Xenopus tropicalis: one gene and its partners. The protein of the gene in region 1 binds, or shares a complex with, the protein of each later gene. Links are inferred from orthologs where the notes say so. Each region holds a gene or a part of one and is shown on either strand. Other genes may lie near its edges.

Region 1 (2,905 bases):
AGGTACAATAAAAACTTAAAACTTGTTACTGTCCCTTAAAGTAACAGTATATCCCCTTCAGCACAGTAGACAAATAATGTTTAGCATAGTGATCCTCAACCTTTCTTACTCGTGAGCCACAGTCAAATGTAAAAAGACTTGGGGAGCAACACAAGCACCATAAAAGTTCATGGAGGTGCCAAATAAGGGCTAAGATTGGCTATTAGGGGCCTCTATGCACACTATCCGCTTACAGGGGCTTTATTTGGTAGGAAATCTTGTTTTTATTCAACCAAAACTTGCCCCCAAGTGAGGAATTCAAAAATAACTCCCTGGTTTGGGGGCACTGAGAGCAACATCCAAGGGGTTGGGGAGCAACATGTTGCCCCTGAGCCACTGGTTGGGGGTCACTGGTTTAGCACAAGCCCTATTCATTGAAGTGGGAAGTATACTGCCTCTTTAAAAAAAAAAGGGGGGGGGAAGGGAGATCTGAATTTAGCCATAAAGCATATTACTGTACTGCATTAAAAGATGACTTAAAATTATTGCATGTTTAAGGAATATTGGAAAGTTGCTTAGAATTGCCCTTTTTTTTTTTTTTTAATTGCAAGTTTTTGGGACTATTTACCCTTTAGTGAAAGTTTATGTTGAATGTAATTATCTAATTATTGTTTTCTCTCTGTTCTGTGGTTCCTTCCCTTTGTGTTGCTGGGCTATTGGAATTGCTGGCATCTGCCAATGTACCTGACGCACAGATTTTGAATGTGTATTTCCCATATCACTGTATTTGAACCTGCATTTTTTTTTTGTCTTTTGCAGAATCTTCTGGACAAATTCTTGATTGCCAACGCATCACAACCGGAAAGCAAAGTTTTCTATTTGAAAATGAAGGGTGACTATTATCGTTACTTGGCTGAAGTAGCTTCTGGCGACGCAAAGGCAGGTGGGTGTTGTTGCGCGTAGACTGCATCCTTAGGAGCTTATCCTTCAGCTCAGGCACTACTCAAGCACCAGCCTTGGAGGGGGCATGGTTCTCTAATGGTGCTATGAAAATGGTGAAGCATCACCCAGTAACTCAGTAGATGTTTGAGAGGTTGTACAGCCACAAAATTTCCATTTCTTAGTTTCCAGCCAGTCAGGTACAATCAAACTAAATGTCTGAGGTTTAACTAGGGCAAAGCTCCTTCCAAATGCTGAGTAACCATATTCTAATCATGTGCACCTGATGGGATACACCTGTGTGTTGTTTCAGCCATTTTAAGTGGGTCTAAATGGGGGTGTCCTGATTTATTCTTCACCAGAAATGGCACTTTGTAGAATTACATTTTACAGAAGTATTTTCTTCAATTTTAATTGTTTAGTTATATTACTTGAATCTCCCTGTTTTGTTGAAATTGAGATTAAATATCCATATGTTCAAGAATGTTACAAGAACACACAGGGTTTCATAGTTTCATATTTCCTAATTTTTTTCACATGAGTACCTATAGGCCAGGTTGAGCATTTTCCGCTGATACGGCTGCTTTTGTAAGTAGTTGTTACTTAAAGCCAACCTGACTGTCCTGACATGTTATTTTAGCTTTATCTATTGGGTCCCAAACTCTGGGACTTGGAACAGGAGGGGACTTTTTACTACAAAGGCCTCCAAGATACGCCAGAAAGCCCAGCATGAAATTGTTAGGGTGAGATTTGGGGTGAAAACATTATTGTTGTCCTAAATGTTCTTGGGAAAATGGCTAATACACAGATATTTTGCTATTCCTTGTTAAGAGGGGCCATGACCTAACCCTTGTAACAAAAGGGACATAAACTGAAAGTCTGACAAAAACTGCCCTAGTTTACAAAAGAACCACAACACAGTTAGTGTTTAGAATGCATTTTGCCTATTTTTTTTTTACCATTTATAAAGCACTATTTTTTTCACTGTTTTTTCACTGCCATGTTTATAATGGTAGAGGGGGGAGATTCAGAGATTATCTGCCTCTGAACAAATAAACCCCTTCCTTTCCTGAGCTTCTCCAGCCTTTGAGCAGCTCATTATCAGAGGGCTTCAGTGCCCTGGTAATTAGTGTGATCAGCTTCTCCTGCCCACAACAGAACCAGGAAGTGCTAAAGTAAAAGTGTGCATTTTCTTTGGTGCCAGAAACGGAACCATAGATATTTGTCCATAAGACCAATTGCCAAAAATCTGCCCTATTTATCCAGCTTGTGTTTTCTGAATGCACCGTTGCTGGGGTGGAATGTGGTTTTGGAATTTCAGAGCATGAAAAGTGTAAATCTCTAATGTAACACAGATTCTTTAGTCTTTCAGTTGGTGCCCACTTTACATTTAATGGAATATAAGCAGAATGTACATGCAATCTAACATGTGACTCTGTGTTGCTAGATATCGTGGCCCAGTCACAGAAGGCATATCAAGATGCTTTTGACATCAGCAAAACTGAAATGCAACCAACACATCCTATCCGATTGGGTCTGGCCCTGAACTTCTCTGTGTTCTATTATGAGATCCTCAATTGTCCAGAGAAAGCGTGTTCTCTTGCAAAGGCCGTAAGTGTTTTGTCTCGCTCTGCCGGCGCATTACCAGGCACCAGCAGCAGTTATCCGCAATAACCTCTGCTTTTCTGCCATTTTAGGCTTTTGATGAAGCCATTGCTGAGCTTGACACTTTGAGCGAAGAGTCCTACAAAGACAGCACATTAATAATGCAGTTACTGAGAGACAACTTAACAGTAAGTCAATGAGGCTTTGCTTTCATCAAAGCATCCTGATTTGCACATATTATTATTATTATTATTATTATTATTAACTATACCCCCGATGGGCTGTGTGCTCCCTCAGAGATCAGCTGACAGGAAATAATGCAACTCTAACTGTAACAGGAAGTAGTGTGGGAGCAAAAGGCAGAAATCTGTCCATTCATTGG
Region 2 (4,140 bases), on another chromosome or scaffold:
TATTAAAAGGGGGAATAGATTCACGGGAGGAGGGTGTAATTCTTCCCCTTTACACAGCGCTGGTAAGGCCCCATCTAGAATATGCTGTTCAGTTCTGGTCTCCAGTGCTCAAACAGGACATGATTGAGTTAGAGAGGGTCCAGAGAAGGGCAACTAAGCTGGTAAAGGGTATGGAAAGTCTCAGTTATGAAGAAAGACTGGCCAAGTTGGGTCTGTTTACACTGGAGAAGAGGCGCTTAAGAGGTGACATGATAACTATGTATAAATATATAAGGGGATCATATAATAACCTTTCTAATGTTTTATTTACCAGTAGGCCCTTCCAACGGACACGAGGGCACCCACTCCGTTTAGAAGAAGGGAGGTTCCGTTTAAATATTCGGAAAGGATTTTTTACTGTGAGAGCTGTGAAGTTGTGGAATTCCCTCCCTGAATCAGTCGTGCTGGCTGATACATTATATAACTTTAAGAAGGGGCTGGATGGATTCTTAGCAAGTGAGGGAATACAGGGTTATGGGAGATAGCTCTTAGTACAAGTTGATCCAGGGACTGGCCATCTTGGAGTCAGGAAGGAATTTTTTCCCCCCTGCGGCAAGTTAGAAAGGCTTCAGATGGGGTTTTTTGCCTTCCTCTGGATCAACTAGAAGTTAGGCAGGTTATATATAGGCATTATGGTTGAACGTGATGGGCTTATGTCTTTTTTCAACCTAACTTACTATGTACCTGATTATTTGAGCAGCAACGTTCTACATGCTCCTCCCTAGGGTTCAGGAGTGAATGGATCGTAATTATTTTAGGCATAGTTACATTTCTAACAATGCCTAAAGTTATTTTATGCATTTACATAATTTTACATAACTGTGCTGGCAAGTAATTTGAGTGTGAAATATAACTTATTGTTAGAAACATAATGGTACCCCCATTAAAAGCCAAAAGATCAGTTCATTTTAAGCACAGGAAAAGCATACAATTGTATTTAGTGACTGCTTTATGATATAGGTTAATATCCATGTTTACATTTTGATTTTTGTTGAAGTTAAAAAAAAATAGATAATATGGTTTCATCAAGCTCAATGACTCTGTATGTTTAACAGCCAAAATACAAGGGCTTTGGGAGTGGTAGGATATAACAGACCAGAAGAATCAGCCAGAATGCTGCAGCAGGGACTAATCAAGGAGTTGGGAGTAGGTAGAATGCTGCAGAATTGAGGAATCAGGGTGCAGAAAGAAGAAATAGGCTGTAGCCCAGATCAGTCGACTACTTGTAGCTAGCAGGTAGAATGCTTCAACTCAGAGGAACCAGTGAGCAGGATGGAAGGAAGTGGTCAGAGACAAGAGAGAGGGAGGGGAAGGAGGAGGAGGAAGCAGGACAGAAAAAGTATGCTCGGAACAGCCCGGAACAATCACTTACACATGGGGGGATTAATCAGAGCTTAATTTATGGAATAATTTTTAGTAACAGAGTAGGGCTCGCTGTCATTTTGCACACAACTGTCCTAAAATGGACACCGTACACTGAATGCAAGTAATGAGTGACAGCAGCGAAGGAATCAGTTTCTCTGTACCATGCTCACGGCTGCCTGGCTCAAGCTGCTGTGCTCATGAAGACACAGGAGGGCTTACGCTACAGGAAAATGCCACCATATGCGGTGGAACCAGGATCCCTGAAGCTGGAAGCTTCTGGCGTGAAGATTACCTCCGTGCTTCAGCGGTTGGAAGTGGTAAAGATGCCCCATGCTATGGAAAGTGGGTTAACCCCCCTCCTACAGCTAGCGGAGGTATTAGCCTTCGTAGGATTACTGTGGTATATGTTATCAATGAAGTAAGTCCGGAGTTGCATGCTTGTGAGGCTGCTGCATTATACAGTTTGCAGGAGGCATGTGAGAACCATGGGGCACTGCTTGAGACCCTGGATTTCGGCAAACTGGACTTTGGCGAGACGTCAGTGCTAGACACCTTCTACAATGCAGGTAATAGAGGGTCTGACTGACATGCTAGAGTATTAGATGATGGGCACCAGATCTGGTATTTTTATTTCCACCCTTGTTCAAGGTGATAATCATATTTAGTATTGACTCCAGATCATATGTGAGGGTGTGCACACCAGGTCAGTTTCACAGTTGGAGGCCCAGCCTGACACTGGGTAACAGTCTTGGTGGGAAGAAAGGGGAAGTCCTGAGAGAAGACAAACAGAGCTACTAGTAGCAGCTACTTGTCATGGCTACTAAAACAGACAATGCTGATCATATACTGATAGCTGTCTCTAGGTGTGTTTTAGCAAAGGCAATTCTCAGTATTGTCTATGGCAGGGTTTTTTTCTGGCATTTAGTAGCCGTGACAAGTAGCTGCTACTAAGTAGCTCCGTGTGTCTTCGCCCTTAATCTTATCATGAGGCCCATGTTTACTGTTCGTATGCTCTCCCTCCTCTGTGTGCATGGGTTTCTTCCCCTACTTCAAAAACCATACAGTCAGGTTAATTGGTCTCTGATAAAACTGCCCCCTCTTTGTGATGGAAAACTTTGTAAGCTCCACTGGGGCAGTGAATGATGTATAATCTCTGTAAAATGTGACAGTGCTATATATATATATATATGTATATATGTATATATATATATATATATAATAACAAAAAAAATTTAAAATAATATTTTTTGGTATATATATATATATATATATATATATATATATATATATATATATATATACACCAAGAAATATTATTTTTAAAATGCTGGTTGATCTGGAGCAAACTGTACACTAGTTAGTTACTTTGTTGATATGTAGTATGTGCTAGCAGCCCTCATTGAAAGGCAGACACCTGGGGGCACATTCATCAATGTACTATTGTGCCTGAATACTAAAAATTTGTATTTTTCTTAAGTTTTAGAACTGTGCGTATTTTCTGCAATTTTTTTTCCTTAATTTGCGTGACTTTTTCATACTTTGCAACAATTTGTGCAACAAAATCGTATTTGTCACAACTAGTACGAAAGTTTCGGAATTCATTCAAGCTTCAGTATTGTTACTTTCCTTGGGCCAGGTTGGAGCTGCAGAGTGCCTTTGAGTCCTGTGGGAGGCTTCCAAAAACATGCACAGAAGTTTCAAAGTCAGAAAGTTTTTTGTGCCGTTTCCAATCTTTCGTATACGAAAATTTAGTAACTTTCGTATCAAACCACTATACTTTCGTACAAGCATGATGCGACTTTTTGCAAAATTAACTCACATCAGAAATTGCAAATTGTTGCAAATCGTACTCGGAATTCGTACTTTAATGAATCGTCCCCCTGGTGTTCACTGTGTTTTGACCAGCTATGCCATAAGACAAATGGGTAATTAGTAACATCCGTATCATATTATACAATGAGAGTATGAGAGTACAATAATTAGTGAGGAGCAGTGGGCAATGGTAATCTAAGAATATTATATATGAAAAGATATATGGCAGCATACAAAAGCCATTCTAGCATTTGCTAGATCAGTGCTGTCCAACTGGCGGCCCGCGGGCCGCATGCGGCCCTCGACCCCCCTCTGTGTGGCCCCCCACCTGTCTGGCTGCTTTGATGGCTTACTCTTGTGTAAGCTTTAAATGGTATCAGTACTGTGATTAACTGGCCCCCCCTGCATGGTTCTCACCTCAGATTCAGGCTGTAATCAGGCTGTATTGTTTAAATATGTAATCCCCTGTACTGTTCACACCTTTTAATCCCTGCATTGTTCACCCCCTGCAGTGTTCAAACCTCAGGCTCAGGCTGTAATCACTCCCATTGTTCTCCTGTTCACACCTCAGGAGCAGTAGAAACCCACAAATAAACCCTGCACACTACAAAAGCAACATACACTGAGGTGGTACTGCAATTAAAAAGTTTTTTAATATATAGTTATTGTGCAGACTGTTGGAGCAGTGCCAGCATTCTGTCACTGTAGGCTGCCTGTGTTTGCCATACACACAGGCAGGGTAGGGAAGGCAGAGTATGGCACACACAGGCAGGGTAGGGAAGGCAGATTATGGCACACACAGGCAGGGTAGGGAAGGCAGAGTATGGCACACACAGGCAGGGTAGGGCAGGCAGAGTATGGCACACACAGGCCAAGTATGGCACAAACCAGCCAAGAATGGCACACACAGTGAAAGTATGGCAC
Region 3 (4,028 bases), on another chromosome or scaffold:
ATAAACAGTGCACTGAAGAAAATTAGGAAAAAGGAATATATGGACGGTTTCTTAAAGGAAAGAATATACAGCATATGTCACAATGCTGCACACACAATAAACAGGTGATGTTTTTCTCTGCCGTTTTTTACATAGCATGTCCACGCTGTCATGAAGCTCCTAGGTTCCAAGCATTCCTGCTCCCTTGCAGCCATTAAAAATTACCAGTTATATTTTAAGACAGACAGTACATGTGCAGATAAAAGCTCCTGTTTCAGGCCCTCCAGCTTATTGGCTTGTGTATGGGTTCCTCCAAAGACCTTACTTTTATATTGAGCCTCTAGAGAAGCAAAAAACAAAATAGAAATGCTAAAAAAAAAAAAAAATAGCTGACCTCACCAACTGATAAATTCTACTTTACAATGTACTCTAACTTCTTTGCTAAGACCTTTATTATGACCACTAATCACTTCAAATAATTCAAAAGCTTAATGTTTCTGAGACTCTTCAGCAACTTGCACATTTGTTTTTAGGTAATCACCATAGCAGGTAATGGGGAAGGTGGTCAATTTGAGGCAAACTGGCAATGGCTCCCAAGCATCTGAAATCATCAGTTTGTGATGCCCTTAAAACAGGGGTCCTCAAACTACAGCCCGCGGGTCGATTCGGCCCCCCAAGATCATTTACCCAGCCCCCACTGGTGTGATGCGGTGACACGCTGGGGCCGAGGACAATGCTGAGGCAGACAGGTAGTAGCCAGGGGTGAGGATGCAGCGGGGGCATAGTTCGAGGACTAACTATAGTCCAGCCCCCCCCAACAGTCTGAGGGACCAAGAACTGACACCCTGTTTAAAAAGTTTGAGGACCCCTGCCCTAAAACATATACAGAGCACAAAATAACCAGTTCTGCAAATTTCTCTGCATGCAGGCTTTAGAATGCCGAGCTGATATTTACCCAGTGAAGGTACTTAGGTTACTAAATCCAACAGCAAGGTCAGTGACAGGTGTCAAAGGCTGTTCAGGAGAAAATGTAACTGAGGAATCTTTTTCACGAAGGAGGTTTAATATCATTCTGCAATTTGTACGGAAATGCAGGCCTTGGTTGGACTTTGGGGGTGCTTCTGATGACATTATGTGATTCTCTGCCATGACTTCAGCCGAGCCTCCACTACTTGTCTGGAACCTGTGGTGCAAATGAAATACATAGTTATAGCACAAAATAAAAATGAAAGATCTGCAAACATGTGTTTTATACAAAACTCACAAATCTGTTTATTTTGTTATGAAAAACTTTCATATACTCTATGAGAACAATGAAGGTTATTACCATAAAGCTTGACTCTACAGCCATGTTTTTATTAATATACCCAAACATCTTTTATTTCAACTCACACAACAAACGTGCATTTTGGAGCCCTCCTTCTGACTAACATGTTTAATACCACCGATTGGGCACCTCAGATGCCTCATAAAAATTTTAAGCAATTTTAAAGAACAGTATTGCCAAAAAAAAGAAAGATCTGCGTTGAGATAAAATATAGCCTACCCTGGTCTGGGGCATTCAATGTGACTTAAATAGATAGAAAATAATCCAATTGGGTTTAATTAATGTTTTATTGATTTTTTTTAGTAGACTTAAAGGAGAAGGAAAGGCTAAGTCACTTGGGGGTGCCAAAATGTTAGGCACCCCCAAGTGACTTTAATCGCTTACCTTTTACCCCGGGCTGGTGCCCCTGTTGGGATAAAACCGCACCAGCCTGGCGTAGCTGCAGCAAGTGTTCACTCTTCCTTTGTGCGCTTGTGCAGTAGAGTGAAAAGCCAAACCTTAACAAGAAAGTGGGCTTTTTCACTCTACTGCGCATGCTCTGGCCCAGGGATTCCAAAGAGAGAAGAAATAAGGAAGAGGAAACGCTCAAAGACAAGCCAACCCAGAATATAATTTTTTGCCTAATAAGAGAAATTCTAAGCAACTTTGCAATATACATTCATTACAAATGTATAATGGTTTTTGAGTTATTTGTATATATAACTGCTATTAAAAGTAGTGTTTGTCAGTCATTTTTTATTTTCTGCCCTGGTGGCTTTGACTGTTGAAACAATTTAGCAGATACAAGGCAGCAGCCTGACAGACCTGTATTGCTGAAGGAGACTGACGTTTGCAATATTGTTTAAAAAGTAACAACCAGGAGTTCAGCAAATGCTGCTTTCTATAGCAATTACAATTAGCTATTAAAGCACTGAAAATTAGCCTTGGTATATAGGGACGGCCATGCGTCAAAGAGTACATTTTAAAGATTATTTATGACTCTTATTATATACTATTTAAGTACCTCTAAGTACAATATCCACTAGAGTGCAATACTCACTCCACCTGATAACATCAGGGCAATATTATTTGAGAAAAGGCTACAACATGCATGTATAAAGCAGGGCACAGATCATCACTACTGAACAGAGGTCACTAGAATGACAAGTTTAATAAGAACTGCTTACATTCGGGGGTTACACGCTCCTTAATTATCGAACCGACTCTCCATCGCCAAGTAGTCTGCGTCTGAAGCAAGTTATCATGTGTCCAGAACACCCTTCTACCCCTACAGCATCTGCGTGCACTTTTATTTTACCATTCGAACCCCTACTACGATACCAGTTACAGATACAACGTAGCAAAAAAAAAACAAAAAACCGAACACAAAATTAAAATCTTCCGCTTAGAACAACTAACCAATCACAAGAGAGCATCCGGGTCACAACTCACAAAAGCACCTAGAAAGGCTGTAGGACAGGGAGGTCCGTTGGGATAGGCTACAAGACAAGCTGTTTGAAACAAATATCTGTAATAATTGGCTGATAAGAGCGCGTCACAGGCAGCGCAGTCTCAGATTGGTTTAGTTGTTTTAGAGCTCTTCCTGGTCCCTGTTGCGCTCAGTGATTCGCTATCTCGTTTGTATTATGCATGCAGGGCGCGCCCACTTTGCTGTGGCGGGGTGTTTAAAGAGCAATGGCTGAGTAGCTTTAGTCAGCTGTTGTCTGAGCCATGCAGCGGTAATAGAGGGAAGCGTGCTGTTTGAAGTTGGTGTTCTACGATGAGCTTGTGTTGCTTTTTCTCCTCCGTTCTTTGGAAATTCTGTAGCTTTCCTATGCTGGAGTGGTTATGCTCACCCACTGGCTTAATGCTCTGTTTTGCCTGGCTGGTTGAAGGGCTTTAGAGTAGTGTGGATTTGACGTGTAATCGTTTTGTATTTGGTAGCTCCTGGCAGTTATTAGAAGTCTGCTTTTGGTATTAAAAAAAAAAAATGTATCTGGTTTTGTAATAATACATTCACTTCAAATGTGGAAAATGCTGTCAGGTTATTTCAGTGTTTTACATGGAAACATCTTGAGTTCTCTCTAATTCTGTTTGGATCTATGGGGCTCATTTGTAAACACTTGGCAAATTTGCACCTGGTCATTAACCCATAGCAGCCAAGCAGTAATTAGCCAGCTTTAGGTTAAACACTAAAAGCAATCATCTGATTGACCATGGGTTACTGCCCAGGTGCAAACTTACTCAGTGTTTACACATAACTTCAATTTTGTGCTTAAAATCTTGTTGCTGTCTTAATACAGGTTCCATATAAAATCTTCATGCTGCATGACTGGTTAGTAATTCTGCCCTGTTGTATGCTGTACGTTTTATAATGGTTCTCTAGCAAGAATATAATACGCATCAGAAAGGATTAATAATGTGGCATGTATTAAGAAACTGGAATACTTCTGGGATACATTTGTGCATTATCTAGGGAGGGAGGACCTGTAAAAAGCTTGATGGCCTTCAGGAATAGGGGCAGTAAAGCTTAACCTGGAATTGTAACCATTTTCTCTAAAACTTTTTGTATATGTATATCTTTGCTGCGCAGGTTGCATTGTCACTGTTTAAAATCGCACTTTATATAAATTCACTGCATGGATGATTTGTGTACCATTTATTATGCTACATTTGAGCTGATTATCACAGCAAACTTTTTTTTGTTCTAAACCAAAAGGAAGAAAATTTTACATTAAAGCTA

The links. Proteins that work in one complex are often made in the same cells at the same time.
Region 2: the proteins of ywhaz (region 1) and map3k5 are in contact, whole or in part, in a crystal structure (PDB 6EJL), measured with the Homo sapiens proteins. The link is inferred for Xenopus tropicalis from reciprocal best matches to the Homo sapiens genes YWHAZ and MAP3K5. Residues at the interface, in NP_001129171.1 of Homo sapiens: Val46, Lys49, Asn50, Arg56, Lys120, Arg127, Tyr128, Glu131, Gly169, Leu172, Asn173, Val176, Tyr179, Glu180, Ile217, Leu220, Asp223, Asn224, Leu227, Trp228; in NP_005914.1 of Homo sapiens: Ser964, Ile965, Ser966, Leu967, Pro968, Val969.
Region 3: the proteins of ywhaz (region 1) and cdc25c are in contact, whole or in part, in a crystal structure (PDB 5M36), measured with the Homo sapiens proteins. The link is inferred for Xenopus tropicalis from reciprocal best matches to the Homo sapiens genes YWHAZ and CDC25C. Residues at the interface, in NP_001129171.1 of Homo sapiens: Lys11, Glu14, Gln15, Glu39, Val46, Lys49, Asn50, Arg56, Arg60, Val61, Ser64, Lys120, Arg127, Tyr128, Glu131, Gly169, Leu172, Asn173, Val176, Glu180, Asp213, Leu216, Ile217, Leu220, Asn224, Trp228; in NP_001274511.1 of Homo sapiens: Gly210, Tyr212, Arg213, Ser214, Pro215, Ser216, Met217, Pro218, Glu219, Asn220, Leu221, Asn222, Arg223, Arg225.

Annotation. Positions count from the first base shown.
Region 1 is NC_030682.2:130,813,689-130,816,593, reverse strand, and holds part of ywhaz (14-3-3 protein zeta), read left to right. Parts: intron 1-798; coding exon 799-922; intron 923-2,365; coding exon 2,366-2,529; intron 2,530-2,615; coding exon 2,616-2,711; intron 2,712-2,905.
Region 2 is NC_030681.2:59,037,059-59,041,198, reverse strand, and holds the start of map3k5 (mitogen-activated protein kinase kinase kinase 5), read left to right. Parts: upstream 1-1,335; 5' UTR 1,336-1,519; coding exon 1,520-1,970; intron 1,971-4,140. UniProt on the Homo sapiens protein: Serine/threonine kinase which acts as an essential component of the MAP kinase signal transduction pathway. Plays an important role in the cascades of cellular responses evoked by changes in the environment.
Region 3 is NC_030679.2:48,003,902-48,007,929, forward strand, and holds the start of cdc25c (M-phase inducer phosphatase 3), read right to left. Parts: upstream 2,806-4,028; 5' UTR 2,722-2,805; coding exon 2,705-2,721; exon of another isoform or gene 2,475-2,704; coding exon of another isoform or gene 2,473-2,474; intron 1,163-2,472; coding exon 935-1,162; intron 1-934. Other genes in the region: oocyte-specific histone RNA stem-loop-binding protein 2, read left to right, coding at 3,607-3,620. UniProt on the Homo sapiens protein: Functions as a dosage-dependent inducer in mitotic control. Tyrosine protein phosphatase required for progression of the cell cycle. When phosphorylated, highly effective in activating G2 cells into prophase.